2 linked regions of the Drosophila melanogaster genome follow. The protein of the gene in region 1 interacts with the protein of each later gene in a pairwise test. Each region holds a gene or a part of one and is shown on either strand. Other genes may lie near its edges.

The links.
Region 2: the proteins of CG14866 (region 1) and CG7191 interact in a two-hybrid assay, tested with the Drosophila melanogaster proteins (one large-scale study listed by BioGRID).

What each region holds. Positions count from the first base shown.
Region 1 is NT_033777.3:15,314,800-15,318,949, reverse strand, and holds CG14866 (uncharacterized protein), read right to left. Parts: upstream 2,480-4,150; 5' UTR 2,308-2,479; coding exon 2,129-2,307; exon of another isoform or gene 2,057-2,128; coding exon 1,512-2,056; intron 1,456-1,511; coding exon 812-1,455; 3' UTR 665-811; downstream 1-664. Other genes in the region: CG6276 (uncharacterized protein), read left to right, coding at 1-510.
Region 2 is NT_033779.5:7,765,368-7,773,657, reverse strand, and holds the start of CG7191 (uncharacterized protein), read right to left. Parts: upstream 6,031-8,290; 5' UTR 5,941-6,030; intron 2,397-5,940; 5' UTR 2,339-2,396; coding exon 2,053-2,338; intron 590-2,052; coding exon 408-589; intron 194-407; coding exon 1-193.

The sequences.
Region 1 (4,150 bases):
GTGGCCGGGGTCAACTACTCCGCACAGCCGACTGCCCATCCAAACATTTCGTTTGTGCGACCTACTTTCAGCAAGCCCGTGGATTTGGTTAGCACTACAACGCACGCCGGAGGCGGAGGAGGAGGAGGTGTTCCAGGAACTGCTGGCTTATCCGAAGCGGAACTGCCCACACCATCCACTGCGGCCGTGGCCACCCCGATGGCGCCCAGTAGTAGTGTTAGTGCCAGCAGTAGCAGTAGCTACTTGAGTCAACGGCATGGGCACAACCATATGCATGGAGGACATCCACAGGTGCCGCCGTCAGCGCTTCCTCTGCGTTTGGAAGCCAACAACGCGTCCGGCGGATCCGTGTCCAACGGCGGTGCGGAGCTGTGCGACTGCAAGACCGATCCGGATGCCATGTTTCTGATGAGCCTGCTGCCCGACATCCAAAAGCTGAACGGCCGTGATCGCGGCAAGATAAAGATAGCCTTCCAGAACATCCTGCAGGACTACCTGTATCCGGATTAGCGTTGATCTCTGTGTATACCTTCCGCTTAACGCAAACGGAACCCAGTTCCAGTATCGATTTTGTTTAATATTCTCTTTTGTATTTTCGTTGGAGAAAAAAAAAGAATCCTTTAAGCTTCGCTGTGCAAGAACAAAGTATCCTTAAAAACGTTTTGAAAACTATCCGGTATGTTTATTAATTGTATAAATATTTATAAATATTTAATGTGTAACACAAGAATAAATTCATTTGAAATTATGCGATATATGGCTAGGTAACTTGAAGTATCACATGAGGATCGGAATGGGTTGCATCCCATCCTCACTCGAACAGCTTCAGCTCGCGGGTGATCTTCTTGATCTTGTTGTCCAGCGTCTTGTCCTCGTGCTCGCAGATGTAGTAGTGCCGCGAGGTGCACTCCTGTCCGTAGTACACATAGCTGTGCTTTCCGGCATTGTAACTTAGCCGTAGGCAGCGACCCTTGCCCTCTATTTGCACCGTGTTGTTCAGCACATCCTCGCCGGTCGCCTCCTCTGCCGCCTGCTCCGAACTGTCCACCAGATTGGCGGCCGTCGAGTTCTCCCCCTTCTGGGCCATCGCAATGGATGTGAGATTCATGTTGGGATTCACCGGCTTAGCCGAATTGGACCAGATCCAGAGGAGGCCAGGATTGAGACCGCCCAGCCAGTAATCGCGACCACGATGCGTCGGCTGATTCAGCAGATAGGCCATGATCTCCTCATTCTCCGAGACCTTCTCGAACTCGGCCAGGTGGGAGTTTAGACCCTTGCAGGCAGAGTTTGCCGTCTTCCAGTTCACCTGCTGCTGGCTGTTGATGTAGTAGCAGTTGTCGCTGATGCGCGTGAAGTTCGCGGGACAGGGATCCTTCACCTCCTTCTGATTGTTTCCGGCCATCAGATAGTAGATCAGCTGCTCCGAGCGCCGCACGCGACTCTCCAGGTAATCTATGGGTGTTTGCTTTTACTTAGACCAAGAACTCCTAGGTGTGACTTCAACTTACCCACTCGATACACCAACTTTTCAATGGCTCCCAAGAGATAAAGATCATTTTCGGAGACAGCTCGGAATGTGGTCGGCTGACCGCCCACAAGATGTTGCTGTTGCGGGTGTTGCTGCGCTATCTGTTGCACTTGCTGCTGTTGCAGCGGCACTGGTCGCACATGTTGCTGTTGCTGGGTACCGCTACCACCACCACCACCACTGCCACCTATGCCAAAGAGCTGCTGCAGGAAACCCGGTTGCTGGCGTTGCTGCAACTGTTGCTGTTGCTGTTGTTGCTGCATCTGTTGGTGTTGCTGGTGCAACATTTGATTGGTCATGGGTCGGAACTGAGGATTCACAATGGGACTCTGGCTCTCCACGGGCTTTCGCAGATGCGGCTCTAGTTCCACCGCCTCGCCAATTCTCCTGGTGATGTAGATATTGTTGCCGGGTCGCTTGTAGGCGGACGAGTGATAGCTGAGCGGTCCATTGATGCCCATGTCCGCGCCCATATAAGGCAGGTCTTTGGACTTTCGCTGGCTGCCGCTGCTACTGCTGCCTTGGCTATATGTAAGACAGACGCGTGGGAAGATCTGGATGAGTGTGTTGCCCTAGCCTAGCCTCCTGTAACCATACCTCAAGACGTAATCTTCGAGAAATTGCGACCAAACTGGAGATGGATCGTCTGCGTCCGCGAGTGATTCATTGGCGTATTTTTGCCTAGTTTCACCATCGCTGCCATTGCATAAGAGTGCAATACCTAATGCCAGATAAACAAGGGCCGTAAGCCGGAGTTGTTGACCAGCCGGCGGCATGGTGACACGTAATGTTTACGGATGGGTATATTGCCCCCGCCTCGCTAAGCACTTGGCGATTCCAGTCGCGTGGTGAACACTTTCGATTTCGTTGCGTTTTCCGTGCGGTTTATGCCGCGTCCGCTGTTCAAAGACGTCCGTTCGCTTGGGTCGAGCTGAAAACCACGACTGAAGCTCTGCGCTTGACTTTGGGCCTGGTCCGCTCCGCTCGCTGATCGCCTCTTCCTTCCCCTCTTCCCTGCTACCGTCGCACCGCTTCAATACCATGCCAATGGCAATGGCCAAGACCAGACCCAACCAGACCGAAGACCCATTGTTGTTGCTGCCGGCCGCCGAGAAATGCAAAATTTCACTTTCTCCTTCGCTTGGCTGTGGTGGGCAAATGTAAGTCATTGGGCTTTTCATCGGCATCTCTACTGCTCCGCTCGCCGCTTTTGTGGACCGGCCCGGTCCGACCCACTGTTTGTTTGCACTCCAACCAAATTGGCCCAGACTTAGGTAATTGACGCGGCTGTCAATTGAAGCGAAAACTGCTGGCTTAAACTTGAATGAAATGGAGTTTGGTGTGCTGGATGTGCCATGTTCATTTGGGTGTTCTTCGACTTGTGAGGAATGACTTTCTGAATGCGGTTAACTAAGAAAGTAACTTAGGCGATTTTCTAGTTCCTCCCCGGGCAATATAAACATGGAATAATCATTCATATTTCAACTTCTATCTTAAAGATAACAGCTTTTAAAATATCAACCGTTCTCTATATATTTCTTTTTAAAAGCTAAAAACAAAAGTTTTTTTTTTTAAACTCGAAATGACTCTTTCTTTTTTTTTCATAAGATGAACATATCTGCCAGCTTCCATATACCATAATGTAAATTATGTAAATAATGACTGGCGCTTTAAGTGGGTAATTTAACACACCACTTAACGATTTAATAACTATTTTATGGCCAACGTCGCGAGAAGAGCGAGGAGAAATGGAAATTCAATTCGAGTTCAGTTTACAAGAAAGTCCATTTGGCCAAGAGAGCAACAGACCCACATGTCGAACGCGGCCTTAACTCACTTATTGATGGTCAAAACGGCGAGCTGCCCACATCTACAATTCATATCTGGAAATCACCCTGAGGATGTGTATATATGCCATATATATACAGATAACTGAACTTTCATTATTCATTGCTTTGACAATTAGCGCGGATGCTAAAGATGTTGCAATGAAGGCCTCGATTTGCGGATCGTGATCCATCTCCGATGAAGTGGTGACGCACTTCGGACTTGGTTATTTCGGCCCAGCATCCATGGGGTTTCCCAAGAGTATGAGAAATCGGTGGAAAAAACTGAAGACTACTTTGCATATCCGCCAAAAATGTAGTGAACTTCAGCGCGATTCGCTGAAGGGCAAAGAAATTCGGTTTTGTGCATCATTGAAAGCAAACATCAAACATATAATTTTTTTTTAGCAAAGTTTTTATAAATTTTTTTATACTTTTTTTGTGGGTGTTTTTTTGTTTGTTTGTGGTGTAATTGTAAGATATAAACTGAAAGTAAAGCAGGCAGCGCGATCTTAAAATTTTAAATTTAGCCCCGTCTCTTTCCTGGGCACTCTCTCTAGCTCTCTCGCTCTTATTGCCTGACTGCAAGCGCTTCTTAATATTTTTAAACATTGATTTTAAAAATACAAAATTCGTGTTCTTGTTTTCGTTTTGTTTACTTTATACATTCTGCTACTTTTGACTTTAGATAATTTTATTTTTTATAAAACAAAAGAATTTCCATTTGCTTTCTATGCTCGTTGGCTTTGTTGCTGTTGTTGATCTGTTTGTTGTTGTTATTTATTTATTATGA
Region 2 (8,290 bases), on another chromosome or scaffold:
CGCGATTCTTGTTGTGACGCTTCCATGGATACCTTCGATAGTAGCGCGAACGCTTGGATTTGCTCTGGCCCAAAACCAAATCCTGAACGGCGTTCTCCAAGTCGGCGTAGTCCTCGGCTCCGCCGGAAGGAATCACAGCCTCCGGCTCCTCCTCCTCCACGTAGACCAAGGGCAAGGTTTCCAATGAGGGATCCTGAGCGAAAAAATGCACATAGATCAAAAAATTGTGTTAAAATTTTAATAAAAATTAAAAATATTATCACTTAAGTATGCATTACTCAAAAAGTTATTTATAAGCAAAAGCTAATATGTTTTGATGTTTATGTTTAATATTTTAAAAAAATTTAATTTACCGTGTATTTTTCAACATTTTCATCGAAATTTCGACAGCCTGTCTTCGCACTCACCTCCAGCATTTTCATGAGCAAAGCGGATTTGTCCACCAGCTCCTGCTCGGCACGCAAATCCTCCTCCATCTTCTTGAGCACCTCGAACTTGCTGGCCAGCTCGAGTTCGTTGTACACCGCATCCGCGTAGTCGGGACCTTGAGGAACCACTGCCAATCCGAGCTCCTGGGCGCGGAGTAATTCTGCCGTGAAATGAGCAAGCCAAAGACCTTATTTGCGATTTGAATGTTTATTCAAGCTGTCGCTAATCCGACCACAACCACGCCATTGCCATTCCCATTCCCACTTCCACTCCCACTCCCACTTAATTCCCCGACTCCTGCTCCTTGCCATCGGAAACTTCCGCCGTTTGATATTTGAAAGTTTGAATAGTTTGTTTGTCTGTCTGTCCTGGTTGGCTGGAATATGTTTTCCCCCGGCTCTTCGGTCGTTTCAATGGACTGGCGGAAATTGACTGGCGGCAATGAGTTTATGGCCACAGCATTCCTTTTCCCCTCCGCGGCAGGGGAAGCCTTCTCGGCTTTTCGACCACGTCCGTCAGTCAAGTCAACAGGCACTGCAACTCCTTGACTGCCTTTTGTCGCATTTGGCATCCAGTCTGCCCATCACTGTCCACTCGATGTCTCTTCAAAGAGCCGCAGACAGCGGACGCTCATGAACCCAAAGCATTTACAGTTTTAAATTTAAGGACTCCTCAATTGAAATAAATAGTTTCGAGATCAGAAACAGAAATAAATTTAAATTTTTGTTTCATATATGTATGTTTATAAGATCATGTCCAAAAATTCAAATGTTACCAACTCAAACCAAATCGATATTCGTTAAATTTCCAATCCATTTACCCATCTATCAAATCGCTTGGAAAACAAGTTCGCTTATTGAAAATCGGATATGACATTTTATTGCCGGTTGGTAGAAGGTAGGTGGTAGCAACGTAAAACGCAAACGTCGAATCAAATTCGTCAACAAATTTGAAAATCTATCCCGGGCAGTTTGGTGGGCGTTTTAAGTGCTCAGCACAAACAAACACATGCTCCACATATTGTGCGATGGTCAACAATGTGAGGCACTTGAAAAATTGTGCACTGACCGAAAATGTTCAGCGAGCGGTGGTCACCATGGCCATTAGGGATAGAGATGGTGGGCGACGGTTACGGCTAAGTGCACGCCATGGGTCACCCTAACTCTTGGTCCACCCCTTTCGAATGGGTCGCCTAAAAGTCGGCAAGCAAAAATTTTGAACGTAATCATGTACTCAGGTGAGGAGTAAATAGGAGGCCATAACTGCCATTAAATATTGAAAATATTTTAGAAAAATAGCTAAATGACAACAAAATAACTAGTTCATTTATTAAAGTTCCTGAACAGATTCAGTTCCAGTTCCTCAGCTTTATGGATCAGAATGCCTATTAATTTGGCTAATATAAATAAGGTCTATATATTTTTATAGGGCGATGGAATAGCTTGGTTATAGGATTCACCTTGACCACGATTACGTCTTCGCATTCAAAAAGAACCCGATAACAATTTAATTGAAATGGTCTTTGGATGCAGTTGCTATCCTTTTAATTCGACTGGGGATTAGCTGATGCCCGGGAAGTTTACCATGGCAAGGAAAGCGGTAATAGGGATGTTTATGACTCACCATCGCCGGGATCGTAAACAGCTCGTTCCTGGGCATCCAGGACATCGCCGGGCAGAGCGGGTCCTTGGCGAACGGGTCCGCCCCCGACCGCTAGAACGGGCAAATGAAGACGTTGTGGTACGGACGCCACGCCCTGATGGTCACCCACTTTGGCACCGTTTGCTCCGCCTGCTCCTCCGCTGGCGGTGGACTGTGCAGTCAGGAAGCCGGCGACGTGACGCGTCCTGCTGCACAGGATCGTGGTAGCCAGGATGCAGAGCGCTAGGATGTCGGGCTTCATGTTCATACAGCCTCTGCGGATGAGCTCGGGATTAGTGCGCGGGTCGTTGGCGATGTGGATGTCTCTGGAAGGCAAAAAAAAAAAAAGCGTAGATGTTTGTACAAGAGGGTAATTACCGTCACTACCACGGCCATGGGATGGATACCTACCCCATCCGCCCCATTATGCCGTGCGTGTGGGCGTCTCTTTGTGCTCAAGCAAACAATACTCAGATAAACACGCAAGCAACCAAGAAACCCCCGCCAAAAGTAGGAGAATCGCGAGGGAAACTGGAGAAATGGGCGGTGGGTGCCAAACGTCAAAAGGGCGTCTCTTGGATAACTTGGCGGCTGATTCTGGGGCTTTTGTTTTGCGCTCCTGCTTAATCTTTCTTCGCGCGAAGAACCGTGGGCCATACGGGCAAACAAATTCTACTCCTTTTCCACTAACTAAGGCCGTTATTTAAAAATTGGGTAAAAATATAAAGGTTGTGTACTTTGCAGACAAATAGTTAATAACAAAGACGGATGCAGTATGTTGTTTATAAAGTAGAAATTACACAATTCAACTATCAGAAAAATAATATATTTATATTAATATTCGAATATTAAAAAGTACTGCCTAATTTTTAACATCCCATTTATTTATAGACAAATGAAAGCTACTCTATAATTCTTGTAGATTTTAACGAAAGATGTTTCTAATTAAAATTGATAAGAATGCTATTACTTTTCGCATAGATTTCCACCACTGTGCAGTAGGTGTTTGTGTGCTTTTATAAATATTTTTTATGTCAGGTACTGCATCGCGGTTCATACTGGGCCCACTCTGTGCGCTTTGTCGTTTCATTTAATTAAGGATGGGACGTCGCCGAAGTGAGCGAGTGGGCTTAACTCCTTCGCAGCGTATTTTTAGCCCATTTAGCTCAGGAGCCTGGTTGTTGGGGTTTTGGGGAAACCCGCCAACCTTATCGCATTTTTTTGCGTTTAAAAAACATTCGCTTGACGAGCAATATAAATGAGTTGCCTGAAACTTTTGGCACTTGCGGTCTCGCTGGTTGAGATGTCTAGGATCGGCTTAATTTGTCTGCCCAAGCAACTGAAAATAATGTATGCCTAAGACAAATTTCGACAAAAAAGTGTGAAAATTTTCACCAAGAAATCCAAAGTTCATTATTTAATTAAGGGCTTGGTAAATAATTAAAGCGCTGTTTGCTGCGAAAGTTTAAGCGTCTGTTTTTTTAAGGAATTATAATTTATTACATAATTCTATAATTTAATAATATTAATCTTTATTAAAATATTTTCCAGAAAATCTGTTCTACCTCACAGATAAATACATTGAAATTAGCTCAATTTATATGGTTAGTTAACCACATAAATCAATCAAGCAAATCAACTCTGTCACGCCCTCTCAAAAAAATAAAGACGGTTGCATTTGGTTCATTAAAATTGCTCGGAGAAAGAGAAATTCTCTGTGGATGATTTTCTTTTCACTTTTCGTCACGTTTTGATTAAATTCAATTGAAAATTTGCAACTTTGTCAAAATATTTGCGAACAATGTTCTCTCGTAGATTTAGGTCTTTAAGTGCATTGCGATTTTCCTGTTTTTTTTTGGTATTAATTTTGGAAATAAATTGCAATTTCTTCGGGCATTTCCTGCAAGAAAACTTTTTCAATTACTCCTCTTTTATTGGCACTCACTTAAGTGGGCGACACTTTGGCGTTATTTTTGGGAAAGCACAACTTATTCGAAATTGCTGCGGAGAGAACGAATTATAAGTAAACAAAGCAAACACGAATCGTTGTTAAAATGCCTTAATTAACTTGTTGACACAGTGTCAAAAAGTGGACAGAGCCCAAAAAACAAAAAATAGGAAAAAAAAAGCAAAAGAAGGGAATTCACCCTGGTTGGCGATGTCCCCAAGGTAAAATGAAATTAACTTGGAAGCGAGGGAAGTTTCAGGAACCCATATATAATTGTACGTTCATTTTTACCCGTCGCCTGTTTTCCTTTTCGCAATAACCGCACAGCTAATTGCTAAATTGAGTTGAAGTGTAACCGAAACGCACACGAACCCAAAGGAATTTTCATAGGCCTTATCTGCCACTATATTCGCCTACGTACCACCTGGACATGTGTGGCGGAAAAACTGCTTAATTAGGGCTAAGGATGTGGAGTTGGTCAAGTGCATCGGACATTTTGTCGCCGGAGTCCGGCCAATTAGACACGGTCTACGTGCGTAACAATCCTGGGTAGGATATTACATAACTTTTCTACTTATTGAATCCGACCATCTGGGATACTTGTCAAAATTTGCACACAAAAGGTTACACAAAGTGTTTGAGCCAAACCAAAGGACCAGACAGACGGCAATGATTGCTACGAAAAATCAAAAAAAGGGTGCTAGCCAAGAAAATTCCATGAAATTCATAAGTATTTTTTTTGCAGTTTTAAATCCTCGCCAACTACAAAATCGTGTACTAATCTTTAATGAAAAGTATAGCCTGCGGAATGTAAGTCAATACCTCTAGATATACTTTTCAGTTGCTATGTCTAAAGAAATAGCACAACCAATTTCAGTAAATACATTCTCCAGGAGAAAATCCTGTGGGATGCTGAATTTTTGTGACATGAAAACAGCTTTGGAATGCTTTCGATTGATTCAGTTTTTTTTTTTAAATTTCTATACGATTGTCAGGAATTTTTGCACGTGGAACTTAAGGGGTTTGAAACAGAGAACGAGGTCGGGGACAACAAATATTGATGCTTTTTTCTATTTGTTTCTCCTAGATTTTCATTGGTTTATTGACATTTGTGTTTGGCATTGGTGGGAATTCCTTGAGTTATTGACATTGATAAAGTATTTATGGATTGCTGTCCCGAGTAACCTTAAAACCAATTTTCCCAAAATTTGTAAGCTCACCAGTGCAATGAAATGAATTTTTAAATTTAACTAGTTCAGCTGTGATGCTCTGTGCTTAAAAAGCTTGAACTTTAATAAATTAATAAAAATAAATTATTGTAGTTAAACATTTACAAGATTAGTATAATATATAAAATTAATCATATAAATGGGGTTTTCTTGTAAAAAGCGTTGGTGAAATAAAATAAGAAAATTTTACTTTTATTTTTGAAGAGAACTTACAATGGCTAGGCTCTATCTTTATGGTAATTTTCAGTTTTAAGCCAAAGGTAGTTTTGTGTTAAATATCTTCTGATACAATTCAAAATATAAGAGCAGATTAAAATAATTTACCAAAGAAAAAGTACTGAATTAATGAATTAAGTTTTAGCTGGCTTTTCTTTGCCTTAAAAATATTTCTGTATTATTAAGAACGAATTCACTTAATAGTTTTAAATATAAGAGTTCTCCTGTTCTTATTTGGCATATTTAATATATGTCCACAAATTGTTATTTATTTTTTTAGGCGCGTATTTCGAGTTTCATTGACGACACTGTAATCGATGACGAAAGCGACGGCATTACTAAGATTTCACGTCACGTTTAGTTATCCTTTTTATGAAATCGACTGGCTTAAATTAAACACAGACCACAAGATATTTTTTGGAAACTTCTTAAAGAGTTTGGCGTGACTGATATTCGAAATACACCGTTAACACTCACTTTAAAATATATTCCTGGAAACCGTTTGAGTTACTGAATCGGAATCAGAATCGGAATACTGTCAACTGTTGCACCTACTACTTGTTGAACACTGCGTGGTTGACTCGCGGAGCCGCTTCCTTTTATAAGGCCGCATCCGAAGTTGAAACCGATTCGTTGCCATCGTCGGCCGATGACGAGTGCGTCGATTTCAACGAGCCGATGTAAAGGCGCCAAAAATTGCGTAAAAGCTTCAAACAAGCTTTTACTGGCCACTCCTCCTTGGAAAACGAAGCCACGGCCGTTTTTATCAATGAAATATTTTGGGGACATTTAAAAAGTTTAGCGCGATATTCGCGAATGAATAATGTCGGTGGCAATTATTCAGCAGGATCACGATATGCGCCGCAAAGTAGACAACAAGTCGCGAAAAGACGTCACGTGGCAAGGTGATAAATTATCTGCGGGTTGGGGTGGATAGAAGCCTTTGTTGACGGCCCTGTTTACGGAAACGTATTCTGAATAGTCCGGGTCACTCGTTTCTCGGAATCTCGCCTTTCTGTGGGAGGTCTCAAAGTTCCTCAAAGGACCTGCCAAGCATGACGCTGCGGAAATCCCTGCAGGCCGGTAGTTTGGAAATGTATTTGAAAATTTCCAGCGAATCGCCTAAATGTAATTGCATTGTCATATTCCAGTGCAAAATGGTATTGTCATATTGCTGCACTTATGAATTAGGCAACGATTATATTTATAGATCGATGATGATATAGCCTATCAGTCAGGCTGATAAATACTGGAAAAAGATAAAAAATCTATTTAAATGTGGTAAACTCATAAAATTTAATTCGAAAGGGTTTGATGTCTGTTTTTTTTTTACCTTCTATTGGCGTTTATTAAAAAATAATCAAATTTTATATTTATAGCTAATGTGTATATTTAAAACATTTGCTGCCTAAACTTAAACGGCAATGGCCTCGGCCAATAGTCCATCCTTTCCGTCCGACTCCCAGTTGAACTGCAAATCCAAAAGGAACACGGCAATCGCAGAGGAGGAATCGAAGGGTCTGGACATCCATCCAGTCGGATGTCAACAACCGTCGCAGCCCGCAGGCCTTGAAAATGATGACACTTTAATGTGAAATTGCCGTTAGTAATGGAGGGCAATCCAAACGATCCTTCGATGTTTTCGTTATTGTTTTGAGTGTGTGTATGTATGTGTGTGTGACTGTGTGTTGTTTTGGCCTAAAAGGCGGGCCGGGAAAATAAGCATATATAGGGTTTTCTTGAAAATCGCCTGGGGCAACAGAAGATGACACTTACGCAGAGAAAACCAATAATAGCCCGCTGAAAAGTTTAAGTGCTCGCGGGCAGGGGAAAGTGTCACTGGATGGAGGCTTCCTCATGTAGCGCGGCAAAAGTCATATTTTTGGCCAGAACCTGCTATTTATAGTCGTCTTTATTTATTTCGTTCGCTCTCCTCCACTTCTTCATACTTTACGCTCCTTATGGCAAGCGGATTGTGCGACTTAAGTTGCATCAGTCCGAAGTCCACCCACCCAAATGGCCACCGATTCATCCAAATGCGTCACGCCCTTCTGGTTTGGCACATGCAATCTCGCCATGTGCCGACGTGCCAAACAAAATGATAAACAAATTAGCGCAGCTAATTACTCTGAAATTTGTGGTTGGTGTTCCGGGAAACAGAGCCTGATATGTCATATATAAATATATTTCTTATGAAGTTATAATGAAATTAATATATATCATCATATACATTTATTTGTAAAAATAAATAAAATAAATCATTACCCAAAAATCATTATACACATGAAAACTCAGCGGACCTTATCATTTACTAAATTAGTTTTCCGTGTAATCTTCTTTCGAGGATTCGGTTTTCAGAACACTATTTGGCCCGCATATCTTTCCGTTACGCATATCCGTATCGCTGAGCAAATATTTGTAGCATACTTGTCGGGCGTTGGCGAGTGAAATGTGCAATTGACTCACGCGTTTGTTTTTGGATTTTTCGGCCGCTTTATTTTTGTTGTCATGCGGGTACAATCAAGTCGTTACAGCTTTAATTAAACCCCATTGACAGTTATCAAGTTATCAACCTAAACGCTGAGATTGAGTGACAGTTTAGCTAACGTTTTTCGATTGCGCTACCTCTTCCGACGTCTAACAAACTGTGGTAGGTACCCCAGCCTAATTGATGTTTGCACGATTTGGTGAAATATCTGGACTCTCATGGATGGGAAACCAAATATTTTGCCAAATATTGTAGAACTCGCTAAAAACTGGTGCAGCAGGATAAACGACCAGCCGCTGTCCACCGAACGTAAAAAATGGTTTTATTCTATAGCTTCTC